Nothobranchius furzeri: one gene and its partners. The protein of the gene in region 1 interacts with the protein of each later gene in a pairwise test. Links are inferred from orthologs where the notes say so. Each region holds a gene or a part of one and is shown on either strand. Other genes may lie near its edges. The genes, in order: coil, polr2l and snrpf.

What was found.
Region 2: the proteins of coil (region 1) and polr2l interact in binary tests that used the Homo sapiens proteins (3 or more experiments, as listed by UniProt). The two-hybrid records come from large-scale screens. The link is inferred for Nothobranchius furzeri from reciprocal best matches to the Homo sapiens genes COIL and POLR2L.
Region 3: the proteins of coil (region 1) and snrpf interact in binary tests that used the Homo sapiens proteins (3 or more experiments, as listed by UniProt). The two-hybrid records come from large-scale screens. The link is inferred for Nothobranchius furzeri from reciprocal best matches to the Homo sapiens genes COIL and SNRPF.

The regions. Positions count from the first base shown.
Region 1 is NC_091758.1:11,394,219-11,400,875, reverse strand, and holds the end of coil (coilin), read left to right. Parts: intron 1-3,648; coding exon 3,649-3,737; intron 3,738-4,108; coding exon 4,109-4,156; 3' UTR 4,157-4,326; downstream 4,327-6,657. UniProt on the Homo sapiens protein: Component of nuclear coiled bodies, also known as Cajal bodies or CBs, which are involved in the modification and assembly of nucleoplasmic snRNPs.
Region 2 is NC_091749.1:62,788,939-62,794,933, forward strand, and holds polr2l (DNA-directed RNA polymerases I, II, and III subunit RPABC5), read left to right. Parts: upstream 1-3,311; 5' UTR 3,312-3,450; intron 3,451-3,832; 5' UTR 3,833-3,842; coding exon 3,843-3,937; intron 3,938-4,206; coding exon 4,207-4,315; 3' UTR 4,316-4,448; downstream 4,449-5,995. Other genes in the region: cleavage and polyadenylation specificity factor subunit 7, read right to left, coding at 5,185-5,419, 5,504-5,648. UniProt on the Homo sapiens protein: DNA-dependent RNA polymerase catalyzes the transcription of DNA into RNA using the four ribonucleoside triphosphates as substrates.
Region 3 is NC_091741.1:34,922,189-34,928,793, forward strand, and holds the start of snrpf (small nuclear ribonucleoprotein F), read right to left. Parts: upstream 3,744-6,605; 5' UTR 3,607-3,743; coding exon 3,604-3,606; intron 2,481-3,603; coding exon 2,355-2,480; intron 31-2,354; coding exon 1-30. UniProt on the Homo sapiens protein: Plays a role in pre-mRNA splicing as a core component of the spliceosomal U1, U2, U4 and U5 small nuclear ribonucleoproteins (snRNPs), the building blocks of the spliceosome.

The DNA of each region.
Region 1 (6,657 bases):
TGGCTCCAGGGTGGGACCCCGGTAACCCTCCGGGCCGGGTACTCCGACTCTTGATTTTAAATCCATGAAAGATCCTCTGAACAATTGAGATGTCATTTATCTTGAATATGAGTTATTTTTGTCAGCCTGAATTTATACCCAGAAATAAAACGCTCAGTTTCAGTGAAACTCCGCTCTGGAAAACCGTGCCTACAGCGGCATCTCACGCAAGTTTGTTACTGTAGATGCTTTGGTGGTCCAGTGGTAAAGACCATCTCAGGTTGCCACGAGCTGAGGTGGGTTCAAATCCTGGTGTGGGCAATACATAATTTAGCCACCTGGAGCAGATTTCATGCTGTTATATTTGAGTTTTATGGATTATTTTCAGCAACATTTTTTGCGTCTCTAAACATTTTCTCTCTTTGTATTTGGTCGTTTCCAAGCAGCATCTTAGTTGATTTACTCGCCTCACCTCACATAGACTCACACTGGCTAAATAAACAAAGAAAGTAAATAAAACATTGTAGTCCTATTATTTTAAACAGTTTACCAATATAAGGTTGGAAACATCAAACAGACAAGTGCTGTTAAAAAGAAAAAAGTTACTTCTCACATGTGAACCTACTAGGGATGTGAATCTCAGTGCAACTCACGATTTGAGGTGCCGATTCGATTCAGAATCGATTCTCGATTTAAATCGATTCACAATCAATATTATTACAGAGTGTCAGTTCCAGGATTAACTGCTTGTTGTACAAGTTAGTTAAATCTATGGGACATTTTTCTTTGACTTTAAACTGTTCATGCTAAAAATAAAGCTAATTTATGAGGTAAAATAAAATTATTCTAAGACTGTAAACAGAAACAATCTTTTGACCAAAAGGCAACATTTATTTTTGCGTACCTTGTAAAATATAACAAATCTCTAGTTACCTAACAGTAGCTTTGAAAGGAATACGGTCAGATGCTTTTTAAGTATGTGTGGAAACAAGTTTAACGCTTGAGTCCTCAACCTGTTTAACAAAAGTGCCTCAGATTTCTTACAAAGGAAAATGTGTTCTCTCATTTCTCAATAACTTCAAATAAATACATGAGTAATCCTGAGTACTCACTTATCAACTTAGAAAATAAATATGAGAATATCTCAATGAGTATGGAAAAAATTACATTCAAGTGCCCTCTTATCAGCAGATTCAAACATAAATCATCCCAATTTATGGGACCACAAAAGTAAATGGAGTACTGACTATCCTTACAAAGATAAAAAAAAAAAAACAGACAAAAGTGCATCTCAAACCTGTAACATGCCAAATATTTGAGTTCTTGGAATCGATTCTGAATCTCTATAAATAAACAATCCCGATTCAGACTTGAATTGATTTTTTTCAGCACCTCTAGAACCTGCCCAACAACCTAACCACTAGACTACCAAGTCTGTTACATGACACTAGTCGCCACATATCCAGGGGAGACGGGTTTCAGACCAGAGACTAGCTTCCAGGGGACGAGCAGGGCCTGATGTTGGGAGATGAAGTGACATATAACTTATACATTAGGCTGTTTCAGGAATTTCAAAATAAAGTTTAAAATTTGCAGCTGAAACAGCAAAATGCCTGGATGCAGCCTAAAAATGGTTCTGGGGAGTTTTCTCATGAGGAAACAACAATTACGTCCTAAAAAGCTACCAAAAGGGATTTTTCATGTAATGGTCCCTTCAAAACCCTCTGATCCTGGTCTGACTGGAGTCCTGACTTTGCTGCTATGGCTGCTGATTTGGTGCCTCGGGATGACGCCCCTGTGGCTTTGAGGGAAGCGACCACCAAATAAAGTCACACAAAGTTTTTGTTGTCAAATCGAGCACCAAAGACTAGTGTACATTTTATTAAAGGCATTCATTTTTAATCTGTTTTTATTTCTAGGTATGGACATGTTTTTATTCTAGGTGCTTTTAATGTCCATGTTTGTTGTGACTTAGCTTCAGGAGGCGACTGTCGCTCTTCATTCATCAGCCACATGCTTCCGCTTAAAATAAAAGAAGGTGATGCGGCGTTGAGCCCCTTGGGCTTCTGTGAAGGTTACAGAAGATGTGTTTTGGGTTTGCAGTGCCATCTATCCACAGTAGACATTGAGTATAGGAGAATCTGAATCCTTAATAAACGAGAGGGTGCTCGCTGCAGAACCACAAAGGCGGAGCTGCACCATAAGGTGGAGCTGCACCAGGGTCAGCCCCGCCCATTCACGCAAACTCAGCCTAGCCCACTGACTTCCGTTTTTGTTTTCCAACTTCATCGCAAACTAACCTGACCCACATGAATTATGGCTGTTACTACTTTACAAATGTTAATGCTCCAATTAAACAAGATAAATATAACTTGCTACATGACAAAGCCTGAATACATCTTGAAATGAAACGATTTCTTTTAGCAGATATCTGCCCACAGCCGCTCTAACAATAATGTGGGGCAACAGCATGAGTGACTGTCATATGTGCTCTGGTAGTCCAGTGGTAAGATCATCTGAAGCAAATTTTGCTTCCCCCTCAGCTGATGCTGGTTCGATTCTCGGTGAGGTCGGCATCAATCTATTTAGCCAGCTGAAACATTTAATTTGTTTATATTTTAGTTGTAATGTTTATTTTCAGCAAAATATTTATGTCTCTAAAAGTTCTTTGAATTTGGTCGTTCCTAAACAGCATTTTAGTTGAAACTCTGCTCACAAATGGACTCACACTGGCTAAATAAACGAATAAATAAATAAACACATTAGTCATTGTATTGTAAACGGTATACCAGTAAATTGTTGTAAACATAGCACTGGCAAGTGTAGCTAGAAATTAAGAAAAGGGGTTGTAATCTACCTAAGATTTCTGCCACTGGGAGTCGAACCTGCGCAAAACTATATGCCAACCTGCCTCCATAGCCCCTACCCCACCACATCTGATATGAAGTAAGTGGTGTTACATGTAATTGTCCTATCCAGTCTGTCTTTGGAGATGGGTTGTATGGTTTTTCGGCGGTGTCTCAGTAGAAGTCATTTCAGAAATAATTTGTCAGAAAATTCACAGAATATCCAGATTTGAGAACCAAGACCAGGCCCACTTCAGGGGAGGAGACCAAATTGAAGCTGAGATGGGAGGAAAATGCATGAATGAGGCCAAAAATGGCTTTGGCGTGTTTCTTATGAGGAAATGACAATATAACATGATAAAAAAGTTCCAAAAGTTAGATTTTTAATTATATAGAACCTTTACAAAAACTGTTCAGTTAACTTCTCACCTCCGTCCTCAATCTTGTATTTTTTAGCTATAACACCCTCTTTGGTTCCAGAATGCTATCAAGTCTGACAACTGGAAGGAATTGTACTGACTCTGATGGAATGGACGGGGCTGACTCTGGAATGGGTGGGGCTGACCCTGGTGCAGCTCCACCTTCTGGTGCAGCTCCACCTTCTGGTGCAGCTCCACCTTTGCGGTTCTGCAGCGAGCACCACTTGTAATAAACTGCTACTACTAAAAACTCTTATTTTACATGGTTAAAATTAACCCTAATCCAGCTACATGTAATTTTATTCTATAGTTTGTTGATTTTATTTTCCTGTTGATTGAGTATTTTACCCAGACTTTCTGCTTTTGTGCTTATGTATTGATTTAATTTACTCTTGATTCTCCAGCTCCTCTAGAACCTGGCAAGTTTGACCTTGTCTATCAGAATCCAGATGGTTCAGAAAGAGTGGAGTATGCTGTACCCAGGGGATCTTGGGTAAGTGTGTGTGTGTGTGTGTGTGTGTGTGTGTGTGTGTGTGTGTGTGTGTGTGTGTGTGTGTGTGTGTGTGTGTGTGTGTGTGTGTGTGTGTGTGTGTGTGTGACCAAGTTCTTTTAGATAAACTACATGTTTCAGCTTGACCTGAAAAAAAGTATTTTCATAGATTAAGATCCCTTCTTTAACTTTAGACAATGGTTTAGCCCCTTTTTATAAACGTTTACTTTATTAAAACAGTAATGATTTAAATTAATATGTAGAAGGAAAAACTAGCTGCCAACAAAAACTTTCAAGTTGTTTAGATTCAGTTAGATCTGTCATTTTCTGTGTACTTAAAACTCATCCTGTTTACCTTTGTTTACCTCTGGCAGATCACAGAACGATGGGAGTCTCTGTTGGAACCAAGACTGATCATTTAAATCGGGGAGGAAAACATACATAAAATGTGCAGTCTGCTCGAAACATGGAGTAGCTACCTGCAGCATATTAAAGTAGCTGAGACCTTCTAATTTTAGACAAGGACTTATTGTTTTTTTTTTAAAAGGGATCTGAGTGAGATCAATTCCAAATAAACGTGTTTCCAATAAAACATTGCATATTTTTCTTTTATCATGAGAAAATCTTTTTGTTATTGTCACATGTAAACTTTTGAACTTAAAACTTTGTTTCTCTCTTCACAGAGTGTTAAACATCGCTAAAAGATGCACTATGAACTCTGGGTTATGGAAAAAGGCCCTCTCTTATGTTTATAGGTACAATTTGTAAGAATGAAGTGAGAATGACATCCTGTGGTCAGATTGGGTGCGTTCTTAGTGCCGTTCTGTGAGTTTCATAGCTGTTGCCAGTTACGGATCAGCGCCAGATGATTCTAGATGACAAGGAAAGACTACACAGTAAAGTTGATAGGTAGATACCTAGATTGCGCCTCTAGAGTGGGATCTCTTTTTTGTGGGGTTCCCCAGGGGTCCGTTTTAGGTCCGCTTCTTTTCAATCTATATATTTTACCTTTGGCAGCCATTTTTAGAAAATTCCGGGTAAATTTTCATCTCTACGCTGACGATTGTCAGCTTTATGTGGCCCTAAAATCTGCTGACCCTGTGCAACCACTGACTGACTGCCTGAGTGAAGTCAGGTCCTTGCTCTCGGCTAATTTTCTCCATCTTAATAGCTCCAAACTGGAGGCTATTTTCTTTGCCCCCTGCTCCCCCTCGGCTGTGGAGCCATCTCTGCACCCTTCATTGTCAGTTTTGGTGAAGCCGACAATTACAAGTTTGGGGGTCACTCTGGACGCTTTTAAAAAAATGGATGCACAGATAAATCAGGTAGTCAGGTCGTGTTTCTTTCATTTTCGCCGGCTGGCCAAACTAAAATCTGTCCTGAACAAAAAAGATCTTCAGTCAGTTGTTCATGCTTTTGTAGAGCCACGTATGGACTATGCCAATTCTCTTTTATATGGTATGCCCTCCTCTTCAGTGGTACGCCTCCAACTGGTACAGAATGCTGCCGCAAGGTTTCTTACGAGCATAGACCGACGGCAGCATATCACCCCTGTTTTAGCAAATTTACACTGGTTTCCAGTTCACTTTCGGATTAAGTTCAAAATTCTCCTGTTGGTTTACAAATCTATTCATGAAATGGCACCCTTGTATGTATACCACTGAGTCCACTGATCTCAGGCTCAGGGGGAGAGAGTTCCAGAGTCTGGGGGCCACAACAGCAAATGATCTGTCACCTTTGGTCAGTGGGTAGGCCAGACCCCGAGGGTCAGAGACAGACGAAAGCAGCCCCGGCGGGGTGGGTTGGATCCCGAGGGTCAGAGAAGGACGAAAGCGCAGCCCCAGCGGGGTTGGTCAAATCCCACAAAAGAGCTAAACAAGCATCACTCTTTTCTAACCCACTGAAGCCACGCACGCAGAAGAGAAACAGTTCTCAGTTGTGTCTCCTTCATATGAACTCGAACATCTGTTCTTTTGGCTCATTCTGACAGTTTGTTAGATTGTACATCTCAAACACAGTCGCAGTATCCCCAAAAATCTTGGAAGAGCAGCACATTGGCATTAACTTAATTATCAGTTCATCATGAGGCTGCTCTGTAAACCCACGTAATATCCAGTCGTATGGCACTTCAGACAAGCAACACAGGAACCACTGACACCTGGCACACTGAGCTTGGATAGGAGGTTCTTGCAATTGCTTTCCTCTGTCTCCGACCCTCGGGGTCCGACCGATGCCTCGGTGAACCGCCGCGCTCTCCCCTCCGGGGTCAGCTGGGAGCCCTCCGTGGTGTTAGTCGGACACTGGCTGCCAAAGCACAAAAAACCAAACAAGTTACAAAGGTTAAAAGTGTGGTCGGGACAGAGGAGAGGTTCCTGTCAGAAATAACAGAATGAATCTGATAAATCGTAACCGGTTGTTAAGGATTCGTTCTGTTTGGAGTTAGTTTCATTTGGAAATGTTGTCTGAGAGTGCAACCTGTTCCGAGCTTTCAATCAGTCTGGTTACCTTGGCAACACGGCGTGTATGATCGGGGAACGGAGGAGGTTCTGGGGGTTCTCGTAAAAGTAAACGTGAACTGGAATCGGAATCATGCGGTTTATCCGTCGCGCCACAAAAGGGTCCCAAATCACAGCATGACAGAAGGATTTGCTTTGAGATCAGTGCACTCACAGAGAACACGTTCCCTCCAGAGTGCACACTCTGTTAGCCCTCTCAGGCTCAAACTAAGTTTTGATAAAAGGACCAAAAACTGAGTCCTTCTGGAGTACTTCAGAGTTAAAAAATGCTCATGAAATACGTATGTGGAGTTAACAGGTTGGTATAGGTTTTAACATTGCACATCTGCAACGCCTGCCTCCAGAGGGTTAAATCCTCCAATAAAGCAGATTAGCCATGATATCATTTCAGTTTCCCGTCGGTCACA
Region 2 (5,995 bases), on another chromosome or scaffold:
CCCATCAATGTCGTCTTTTCCCAAGGTCACATTTATGGCTTCACTGATTCAAGGCTGAGCAAACAGATGGATATCAGGGCCTCATTCATGTTTCAGTCTGTCTATAATCATCAGAGCAGATAACATGACGACTGCGTCTAATTTAGAAGGGTAATCTGTCTACTTCTGTGCTTTTATTTATTTTTCACCTCAGTGAAGCAGCACGCAGCTGACCTTATAACAACTCCTGACCACGCCGCACCTGTGTCTCTGAGTCCATGGAAGCTAAGGCCAAGTCTGGGGCTTCAGCACCCAAGGCAACATCCAAAGCAGAGAAGAAGGAGCCAGCAGCACCATGCAAGGCTGACCCTGCCCCTGCAGCCCCTGAGCCTGAGAACCCCCCCTCCTCCAACGATGGAGGAACAGCAGCTGAATCAGCAGCAGCAGCAGGAAGTGAGGACGCTGCGGCCTCTGGCACAGACTCTCTGGAGCACCTGAAGCCTTTTCTCATCGGTGGCGCTGTTATTGCTGCAGGAGCCATCTTGCTGGGAGCGTTGCTCCTGGCGAGGAGAAATTAAAACCAAATTAGAAGAACGGCTGACTATATGGTTTGGATAAGAGATTGGAAAGACAATATTTTATTTATTTATTGTTTGTTTTTGACCTGATCTCACGTGTAGAGAATCACCCCATTTAAGTTTTTACCAAGGCTGTATATGGAGAATAATTACACTAATAATACATGCATGAAGTCTCAACAGCACAGCATAATGTAAAATTAATTAAAAATATTATAAAAAGACTTATTCCTCAGCTTGATGCCTAAACCTTTTAAACACAACTGTCTGCTTTATTTAGTTTAATCCAGCGTGAGCAAATATTGACCTGAGGTTGCAATATTTGTGCATTCCGACACAGTGAATGAGCTTGGTTAATTTTGTGTAAATATTTCAAAATTATATATCCACTGTGTTCATGATGTTTTTGAGCAATCACAGTTCTCTTACTTTAAAATAGAATATTTGAAAGAGTTGGTGAACGAACAGTCACGTTTATGCATAGCAAAGGATTATGGATCTTTTGTTAAAAGAAACACCTGCACAGGTGGAATTAGATATATTGAGAATAAGTATGAGCATGGGTACAGGCAACAGCTGACCTTCACAGGGCTAATACTGGCCCAGTAATCAACAAGGCCACTACTAATAATGTGGACTAGAGCCTATTTGTGGCAAGAATTTGCAGATTTCCTCAACTTTCCATCATTTTCCAAGTGTGTCAAACTGACATTTGTCATTCTGGAAAGAAAAACCTTTTTATTCAGTTCTGTCACTCAGGAATAAATCAGTGTTCCTGGGTTGATTCTGTGGTGTCACTCGTTACATCTACATTGTACGTTGGTGGCAAAAAAATATGGTAAACCTTTGTATTGAGCAGGGGTCTGCAATCTACAGCTCTGGAGCCAAGTACGGCTCTTTGGAGCTTCCACAATTGCTCTTAATAATGTATTCTAAAAATGGTAAAATACTAATTTAAAAAAATATATATTAATATAATAATGCAGATTCAAGCTACTGTTCTGTATTTTCACAGAATCAATTGCATTCAATTTCCTCAACAGAATTACACTATTTTTATAACTTTCCTGATATACAGAATGATATTCATACAGTTTTTGCAAAAGTTTTATTTCATTTTTCCTAATTTAAAAACTTAATCAAATCCCATAGAGAAGATACTGATAGAAGATAAAACAAGAGTTGTGACTATAATCTAAAAACAAAAAAGTCAGAATCATGATTTCAACCTCAGAATTCTGATTAATTTTTAGACATTTCTCAAAAATTCATTGTCTGTTTTCTGAAAGCCCTGTAACAGTGTGGGAAACAGCTCTTTGGATAGTAAAGGTTGCAGACCTCTGGTGAAGAGTAACAAAGACAAACTCATTGGGTTTAAAATAAACCAAAACATTATTAAACACTGAAATATGACACGTTCTGGGACAAAAGAAGAAGTTGGTTTGCGTGTTTATTCTAACCTCTATATGGGTTTGAAAGCCCACAGCCAGTCAGCCACTAGAATTGAGTCAATTTTTATGCCACTCTGTGTGTTTTCAAAGTCACCCACCAAAAATATGTAATGAAAGCATTTATAATAGCATAAAAGTAGTACTCATACTTCACTGAAAGGGGGAAAAGAATTTGTTACTGCACAAACACACCTGTACAGTGGCTCACTAGCCTTTCAGCTTGCAACTGTAAAACTCATCCGGTTGTCTCTGTTTGGTAGAAAGGTAGTTTTGACAACCAGAATGTATAGCTTCACCATATTTTATACCCCCTAAAAAACTCATAAGAGCATATCACCATCACTAGACAGCTCCTCTGACATGTTCAAAAAGTAGTAAGTCAACACAAAAATAAATTTCACCTTACATTGTACAATACAGTGTACTCTTAAAAAACAAAAGAATATGAAAACTCCTATTTTCATAATTTCAACAGCGTATAAATGCAATAATTCAGGTAGGATTCCTCATTTAGCATATGTGCTGTAGCAAATGAAATTACATAGATGATGTATTACTGTATAATGTTACTGATGGTAATGATAATGACATTTATCATGCTGACTGTAAAGATGACTATGGTGGAAATAATATGTATGTTTTATATTTTAAATATTTTCTTTATGCACCCTCCTCTATGAGTCCAATCATTTAAATGTAAAATATGACAAATCTGAAATTCAATCTTATTAAAGGCAGTGAACCAGTCCTATAGTGAGCATTTCTTTTGTGGATTCATGTTAATATTAATTTGTGTAACTATCTGCATTGGATGAAGATTTTATTTTTGCATGGTACCACCTTCAAAAACATTAGTTTTAATCAACTAATTTAGCTCTTTTCCTTAACATTCTGTCAAGATGGTATATTGAATTGCAATTGCATTTATTAGTTATATCAAGGAAAATGTTAGAGTTTTTAAACTCCTTTATCTGTGGTTACATGGATATTAATACTTTTGCTTCAAAGTTGTTTGTTTTGTAAAAGGAAAAATACATTGTGAGGTGAGTGACTTGACATGTTAGCTAAGTTTGATGGGGAGTACTGCCATTTTTATACGCTCGTTTATGAAGTGAGCTGTGGTCATTATTCAGTAGCAATATTGTGATTCTAATGAATTGTTATTTCACTTTTGCACCACATTTATTAAAACCAAATAGACGAAGACGCTCACACGTTTTCCGTGTCAGTTTCCCCATTTTCGTTTTTTTTTTTTTGGGGGGGGGGGGGGGTCAATTTTGCAAATCACAGGAAACGCTCACCTCTTATTCCGCTTTTATTTTGGCGGATTTTACCCGGAAGTTGTTTTAACGACATAAGGAGTGAGAGAACGCCATCATTATCGTGCTGGAGTTACTTTTACCAAGAAAATAGTACATTCATCTGATCTACAGCCTCAAAAGGTGAAACATATGGTAAAACGTGATAAACTAATGACGTGTGTAAGTTCGTTTAGCGGAATAATTTCAACAGCAGCTAACGCTAGCTGGTGGGCTAGTTACGTAGCGGAATACAGCACTAACCATAAGATTTGATTTCAACCGTCTTTTTTAAGTAATTCGTTTTTGGACTATTGATTAATCCATCTGAAAAAAAAAACTAAATACGTGTTTGCTTTAATCGTTGCAGTGCTAGGTTTTGCTGCATTAACGTTAGCAAAACATGCTCACATGGTGGTCTTACTGCGGTGGTATGCGGAAACGTAAATGTAATTTAAGTTAAACGACTCAACTGTGATTGTTTTACATTGTTTTCAAACATTAACCGGGTTGACTTTTGTTGCAGGTATTTAACGATGATAATCCCTGTGAGGTGCTTCACTTGTGGGAAGATTGTGGGGAACAAATGGGAAGCGTACCTCGGTCTGTTGCAAGCGGAATACACAGAGGGGTGAGAAACAACCACGTCTAGCTTCACGTTTCATGATCTTTTTACGTCCGAAATTGTTCTGGCACGTGTTTGAGTAGCTTTTCTACAAAGGTAGAACATTTCAACATTTGGTCACAATGCAGGCAAGCTAAATAACATTTAAAAAGAAGATTGGGTTTAGATTTGTTTTTAAACCACAATGCCTTTCACCTTTCCTTATGGTTTTCAGCAGTGATTAAAACGTGTTTATGTAACATATCAGGACTGATTTTTGCCATCTCCCTCCCTAGTGATGCTCTTGACGCTCTTGGCTTGAAGAGGTACTGCTGTCGAAGGATGCTTCTTTCTCATGTGGATCTTATTGAGAAATTGCTGAATTATGCTCCGTTGGAAAAATGAATGTTGTGGACTTTGTAGCACCATTATCAGGGTGAATGTGTGTACTATGTAACCTTAAATTACGACCACAGAGAAGAATTTATGGAAACATTTTTCAATTACTGGATTTTTTAAAATAAAATGAATAACCTTGCTTTCTTTCGTCCATGCGTCTACATTTTATGTGGTTGGCAACGACTAGCTCTTCAGATCTTAGCTTTGGAAATTAATGGTTTTAATCGCATAGTTCATTTCATGAGATTGGAAAAATTGATGAATGATTAAATGTCTATTTCCTGTCAATGTGACATAATTTTACAGCTTTGTGTAGTTAGTTATAACAAAACACTGGAGGATTTTTTTTTATTTGTAGAATTTATACAAAAAAAAGAATGAAAACAAGTTATTAACAGGTGTTCACTACATGCATGTTGAAATTCTATAATACAAGAATGAATCTACACAACTTTTTCTTAAAACAAATCAGACATGGTGAATATAACTGATAAAAAGTAGGTTTCATACTTTCAAACATCCAATGTCTCAGCTTCAAAGAGTTTTGACATTTATCAACCTTGGTGCAAGAAAATGCTCATCTTTCCCCGGCAGGATTCTTCAGTCTGGGGAGAAAAGGGAACAAAACCAGAACAAAGTCAGAGTAAAAAAAATAAAGGGATGCCAATCTTTCGTGATTTCAGTTAATGCATTCATATTAAATTCAGACGTTAAAGAGCTGTATATTATCCTGATATTGTGTCTGACCTACAGTGAAGATTAGAATACAAATAACTGCTCATTTAAAATGTTTATAAAGGAAGAAATGCTCCCCTGACTCAATGTAATTTTTAGCATATATAACTTTTGTAGTTAAGTCTGTTTATCTTACCAGGTTAGTAGTATCGGTCTTTGTAATCTCGATGTCTTTCTCGCTCTCGTAAGCGCTCTTTGTCCCTGTCTCCACTCCAGGAATGTTCTCTATGTCTTCGAGACGTTCCCGCACCTTCCCTGCTGTAAGAGTCACTTCGGTCACGATCTCGGTATCGCTCTCTGTCACGATCTCTGTCGCGGTCGTGGTCTCTTTCACGACCTCTGTCCCGGTCTCTGTCTTTCTCTCTTGAACGCCTGCTAAAAAGAAAATCTTTAATTAGAAAAAAGCTTAACCCTCTAAGAAAGACAAGCACTCAAACCAAGTTTCCTAAATATACAAACCTGGTTTCACAGTTGCTTTGGATCGAGACTAAACAGTCTTTGAGTGAGGTGACCAAAGCTCGGCAGCGTTCATCCCCGTGCACTTTAGACTGCTTTATGATGGCAATCGCCGTTAATAGTGTCTCCATGGCCATCTGCTGCTCTCCTGCATTAGAAATTCAGGAAATAAGATCGTCTTTTAAAAAGCAGGTTCAGTGGGAAACAAATTTTTTTAACTTATTTTTGAAAATGATCAATGACTGAGTTTAACCATGAAAACAGTCTTCTACCCCTATTTCCTTCATTAGCTTTTGATAGACACTAGACGGAAACACACTCGGTTCAGAAAAGCCTGACAGATCTAGTCACACTGTCACTTAACATTCATGGACTCACCCATCTTGACTCGCGACGGGGAAATCTGTTGTTGGTTTACCGTCCAGGAAACGGCAGTGAACGTCTCGACTAGTAGATGCTAATGATTAGCATTAGCAACTCCACAACAGCAGAACT
Region 3 (6,605 bases), on another chromosome or scaffold:
TCCGTCCACATACTCCTCTGTATTTGCCAGCTGTTGGGGACATGATAGATGTATTACAGAGTCACATGACCATAAATCAGTTGTTTTTGTCCCATTTTCAAAAGGAAATTCTGTGTAAATATCAGGGTTTGACTCATACCTCATCCACAAGAACATCCCAGGTTCAAATGAAAGCCTTTTCCAGGATTTAAAAGCACCTTTAAGTGTTTGCACTGCCTGTTAAAGTTCATCTTTAACAACATTAAATGATAGATTTAAGATGTGAGAAAGACTTTTTTATTTGGACTAAATTATTATACTGATTTAGTCTAATTCTGAGTGGAAAAGAAGGTATTCCTGCTAGAACTGAAACGGTTCCTCGAGCATCTCAAATAATTCGAGTACAAAAAAGCCTCGAGGCTTCGTTTAATTCATGTTTAATTAATTCATGGCTTTGCAATCGCCCGGGGTCATGTTTCACCCGGACCGAAATAAGTGACGCACATACACACTGCACTGAATGCACACGCGAGTAGCGAACGCAACTTAACTTTCTCTTAAGCCATGGCGGACAACGTGGACCCGGTGGAGCGAAAAAGACAGGAAATGTCAAAGATGTGGGACCATTTTTCACTTCGTAAGGCAGAAAACGTACTCCAGTGTAAATACTGTAAAACGGATGTAGCCTACCACACCACCACATCCTCCATGCTGCAACCTGACCAGGAAACATCCACCTGTAAATGTCACTTCTGCAAGCGGACTCGGAGCCTCTACAAGATAATGCATGTTAGCCTGTATTTCTGTATATTCTGCAGATGCTGTGCGACTTTTTCATTTGTAGCACTCAGTTTCAGCTCACACCGTACGTCTGGTAGCAACACTTCGGTCTTAAAATGTGCTAAAAATAGCTGTTTTTACAACACGTCAGACTTTTTACTGTGTTGTTATTGACGTCTGTTGTCCCTCGGGGTTGCTGCAGGAGGACGCGGGTATTTATGAGAGGAAAACGAAAGTAAATAAATGTTTTGTGATCAGTATAATTCGACAAAACCACGGCAAACATGCTTTCTCGACAATCCTTGTTATTGTGTGAGAAAATAAAGTGTAGAAATTAAAACGGACGTGTGTTAATAGGGAAACAGCTGGCGAGCCATGATTGCGCATGCGCCGTGAGCGGTTCTGGTTCTGTTTGGGCCGCAGCCACTCGCAGCGCTACTTCAACAGTTATCCTAGTTTTTGTCTGGCTTGCAGGCTCGTAGATTCTCACACCGGGGGAAATTAGCTCAGGTTGTTTACTTATTTTTTGCACAGGCATTTGTTTACTGTGAAGTAAAGTTGAAGTGCTGAAGTTTTGCAAACTGATTTTGAATAAAACTTGAAGAATAACTGGCAATAGCGTACTCATTTTAAGAGGTCTTTCATATTTTATAACATGCTATTTGATATAATGGTTTACAAACACAAAAGGGTCATTTATTAGAGTACTCGATTAATCGATAAAAGATTTGATAGAGTACTCGATTAATCGATAAAAGATTTGATAGAGTACTCGATTACAAAAATATTCGATAGCTGCAGGCCTAATTCCTGCATCTATATTCTTTCCAGTGGAGGTTTATGGATTAGACTTTTAAAAAGCTGTTAGAACTTCATCAACTGCTGTTGAACTGATTTGCATTTCGCTGACAACTGGGTGCATATCCTAGATATTGTTCCCAAATATACATGCAAACATTTGAAAACACACCCTGCTTTGGGAACATTTGTATTTTACTGCTGCTGAAGGATAAATAGGCTGCTTTGTTAATATTAATAAGTAAAATTATAATTACATGAAGTTTCCTTAGACATTTTGGAGCCATGACTTTATTCACTTCAGTCTCTTTAGCAAAAATTCCCTCAAACTGATCAAACAACGCCCCCTGCTGGACACGAAGATAAACACCTTTCAGCAGTCTGACTATGATCTGAAGTTGAACTGATTAAAGAACATCAGTGAGCCCTGGTTCTGCATGTTTTAGTTCCTTACCTGCTCCAACACACCTGATTCAATAGCTTAATTCTTCTGAAGCAGCTCATTATTCGCCTAATGACTCAAATCAGGTGTGTTGAAGCAAAGAAACATAGAAAACAAGCAGGATGATGGGTCTAAAGAGCTGAATTTTCCTGGGGTACAAATTTAATTTTATCATTTATTTTGATTTGGCTTAACCAAATTTATGATAATAAAGAAGTCTGACACAGATAAAACCACACAATAAAATCATCAAGCAGTAGCAAATCCTGAGCAGGTATACAAATAATTAAATGGTTTATTTTTCCATGTGAGAAGATTCTGTGGTTTGGTTGTTAGGAGGAGAAACGGCACCCACCTGCATGTTCATGTATCCATCCACAGACACCAAGTAGCCTTTATACTCCATACCCCACTTCAGCTTCACCATCACAGGTTTTCCCGTCAGGCCGTTCAGGAAAGGCTTCGGGTTCAGAGGTAAACTCTGTAGAAGAAGAACAGAGGTCAGCAAAGCCATTACATCCCACACTACTGAAGAAAATTAAATGCATTTAACGACTACATTTCATGAATTTGTAACGCTGCTGAACAGCAGCGTACCCCCAGCCGTCCGTCCTACAACACAGATACTCCTCACTCCAACATGAAGGAAATCCGGATTCAATTAAACGTTTTTGCGTAGAATCCAAACTTTAAATCTACTGCAAAGTAAATCATTTTTATTGACTTTACTAATGAATTACTTAATGGCCAAACAGCTGTTTAACCAATCTAATTTTATTCATAAAAAACGTTTAATGAATCAGCGCAACTGATCTGTGTAATAAAACAAGCTGTTAAATCCTAATAGTGTTATTTTTCTTTAAATTGCATTATTTTGTTCAATCACTATTAAATTTTAATATGTTCTCCCATAACACAAAGGTTAATCCGGGTCAGGTGGTTTAATAAAAAGGTTTAAATGCTTTACTGCTGTTTTATTTACCTGCAGCGTCAGCCTGACGAAGTTTGCAGCCGCAAACGAAACGTTGCAGGCAAATAAAACCTTTCTGTGTTTTAAAAATAACTAAAAGATGGAATTAGAATTTCAACACAGCAAGCACACACCAAAGATGCTCTTAGCTCATTCTGAGTCGCTTGTTTTAAACCGATCATCTCTCTTAAGGCTAGCTACAGGACACCGTGGACTTAAAGGCCTGAGGAGTTAGCTCACATTATAAAGATTAAATAGCTAAAGGTCGAGAGACATATTATTAATATATATTCATTTCCTTATGGAAGCTTTTGATAAACGATCTTAGCGAAATAGTTTGGACTTTATTTTGCCAGGAAGCGAGGGGATGCTAGCGGTTGATGTAGCCTCTGCGGTCTTTTCTCTTGTTTATTAACAGTGATGAACGAGTAGACGGCTTACAACCCAAAGGGAATAAGAAACCGAAGATTTATAACACCAGTTTTGTGTTAATATGTGTTTGAGGGTGTGAAAGGTCTAGGTCGAAGTTATGAATGAAAAGCTAACATGGCTAACGCTAAACAACAAAAATACACTGAATTAAATCCTGATAGTTCATTCGCAAGACGATAAAGATATACAACGTCTTACTCACCATTTTATATCAAATTAAACAGCTTTAATAAGCTAAATCAAAAAAGTAAAATATGTTCGTCTCGATAACGTTTGCAAACCACGAAGCACGCTTTACCGCCGACCGGAAGTACAACTTTCCGACCTGGGCACGAGTCTCCGTGCTTTAAACAGCGCCTCCCAGTGGCCGGATGAGCGAACTGCTACCCAAGTGATTTAGTGTAAAGCTCCAAAAGTTTCCCCTCTTCCTCTCATTTACAGTCACCCATTGAACAGTAAACTGTGAGCTGATAAACGAAACGTGAATTAAACACCTACAATATGTATGCACGATCTCTGGGGTTGATATGTCAGTTGTTTATAGAGTATCTGCTATATGTTCGTGGCACGATACAGAAATAAAGTCCAGTCCAAAAAGTTGTATCTCCTCTACATTCACAAAAGAAAATGGCAAAAAAAATCAGTTATTAAGTCCAGGAAAAACTAGTAATAATTTTCTTCAAACTCGTTTTCATTCTCAGCAACAAGATCATGTCATCTGCCTTGAGTTGAACTCCTGCTCTATTTATGTCATGCAGGATCAGTGACTGATTGAAAACATATCGGTTTAGGAGCTAAACCTGGCACGACTGTCATAACTGGGTCATGCTTGCTCTCTGCAGCTTTGTTTTTCTCCAGGCACAAGAAGCCCGATGTTTAAAAAATGTTTTCTGCTCTGAAGCGTTTGTCTGTTACCAAAAAGTCAGGCAAGTTCAAACCTGCCATGGTGAATAAAACCGAAATCTGACTTCATTCAGCAAATGGCTGGGTTTTGTCAGAAAAATTCCTATGAAATTGCTCTGGATCTCTCTCTGCATGTTTGAAATACTTGTTTCTTTACATCACTGAGTATTTTCCCGACCTCACCTTTCCAACGTGTAATTAACCCGTCCATCAGACAGTCTGGTCTCAGTTATGGGATGGAGACGGTACGCGAGGTTTAGAGAAGTGGCCAGTCAGAGGGTGCATGAGTTGTATGAGAACTACTGTTGGCATGAGGCGTAATAAAATCTGTTACAGACAGACAGACCGACTGAACCGATAAAGAAAGCATAATATATTTTTCATGTGTTTAAAAACGTATTTAGAGCTGCAAAATGATGAAGAGACACAAATAAATTTGCAGTGTTGCAAAAACTGTAGTCACAAGAAAGTAACTCGTGCAAAGCAACCAAAAACAAAAGGGAAATTATTTATTAATTAAATATGATTTTAAAATAGCAAAATTAGTCTTACGAGGCTATAAAATAAAAAAGATGACATTTTCACCAAATGGTCACAAAGATTAGAAGTTATGAAATAAAAATCATTTAAATTAGTAACAAACAATGAAAAGAAAACTACAATTTATTCTAAAAGACCAATAAAATCAGCAAAACGACCACAAAGAGACACAAAATTACATAAAAGCGATCAAAGTTACCAGAATGACAACAATCACAACAACAACGTTGCCTCTACAAGTCGAACGGCTTTAGGAAACATCGACCGAAGAAGCTGAAAAAGAGAAAAATCACCAGAAAAAGAGCTGCGACTAAAATGAAGCTTTAATGTTTTCACGTTTGAGGGGTGAGGTGTGTTCTCATCTGCCTGCAGCTGTTGTGTGTTTAGAGCAGCGATCACCAACTCCCCTCCCCGAGGGCCGGTATCCAGCATGTTTTACTGTTTTCTCTGCTTCAGCACACCTGATTTCAATCGGCAGGTGATCAACCGACTTCTGCAGAGCCCGATGAGCCTCCGAACCGGTCAAGCGTGTTGAAATAGGGAAACAACAAAAACATGCCGGTTCCCGCCTCTCGGGGAAAGGTGACCACTGGCTCAGAGCATCAAATCTAATTTTTATATAAATCATTTCACATTTCAAGTGATTTAAATAATAATTATCGTAGCTTGTCCAGCTTCTTCTGCTGCTTTCCATTCGTTGACAACATCATTCGGAGGAGATCAGCTTTGTTCAGGAGGCGAGTGGGAATTTTCCAGTCTGCTGCCGGATCCAGTCTGAAACTGGACAGCCCTTTGAAGTCTGCAGAGGGGAGCAAATGGAGGGACGCCCGTGGAGTGGATCAGATATGGAGCGCGGAGCTGACAAACTCAGCAGACTGTGTGCAAATGCACTTTTAGCTGTCCGCTGATTACTTCTGTGTATGACCTGCGAGATTCCCATCAGCCTCAGCTGCACTTCTGGTGCAGGCAGATTAGCTGTGTGTATACCCCCCCCCTCGGACACACACACACAGATGTGTGTGCTCAGGTAGTGGAAAGGTTGGAAACATGGTTCAGGAGAGCTGAGATTGAACAAAGATGTCTCCTTGGTTCAGAGCAGAACCGCTGACTGATGGAGGACAAACAGAACCGAGTTAACAGGTGAGAAAGTTTAGCTTGGCTCGCTGCTTATTGGACACGGGTCAGAAGCCCAGAAAGCAGGTCAGGGTCCGATTAGAGAGGAGAAAGAACCTTGCGGCGTTCAGAGGAGCTGTACTCAATTAGATGAGAGGAGTTTTCTGACCTTTTGTCACACTCGGCACCAGGGGGCACACTAAAACCTGATCACAGATTACACTTAATCTATGGAAGCTACAGTCAGAGTAGATAACATGACCAAACCTCACTCCTGACTCTTGGTTCTTTCACTCGTCGCTGAGTGCTCATGAGGAAGCTGGACCAGAATCACTGGGTTGTTTCACTGGTTTTATGGACACCAACAATGGTGTCAACAAAGGGCGCAGCGGAGCGGCCAATGGGCGGACCTCGACATGCGTCAGCAGCTCACGCAGCGTCACTTTGTCAGACAATTAATCAATTATGAGCAGTTTGTCCCAAACCAGCTGCTCGTTTAGATGCTGTGGTCAGGAGTTTGACCCAAACTGTTGTGATCAAAGGTGGAAATGACTCAACAATGTTTGTTATTAAGTGTTCTTATTTCTACTTTACACCACATTAATGACCCATGGGTCATAATTTATAGCAGAACCACTGAAACACTTT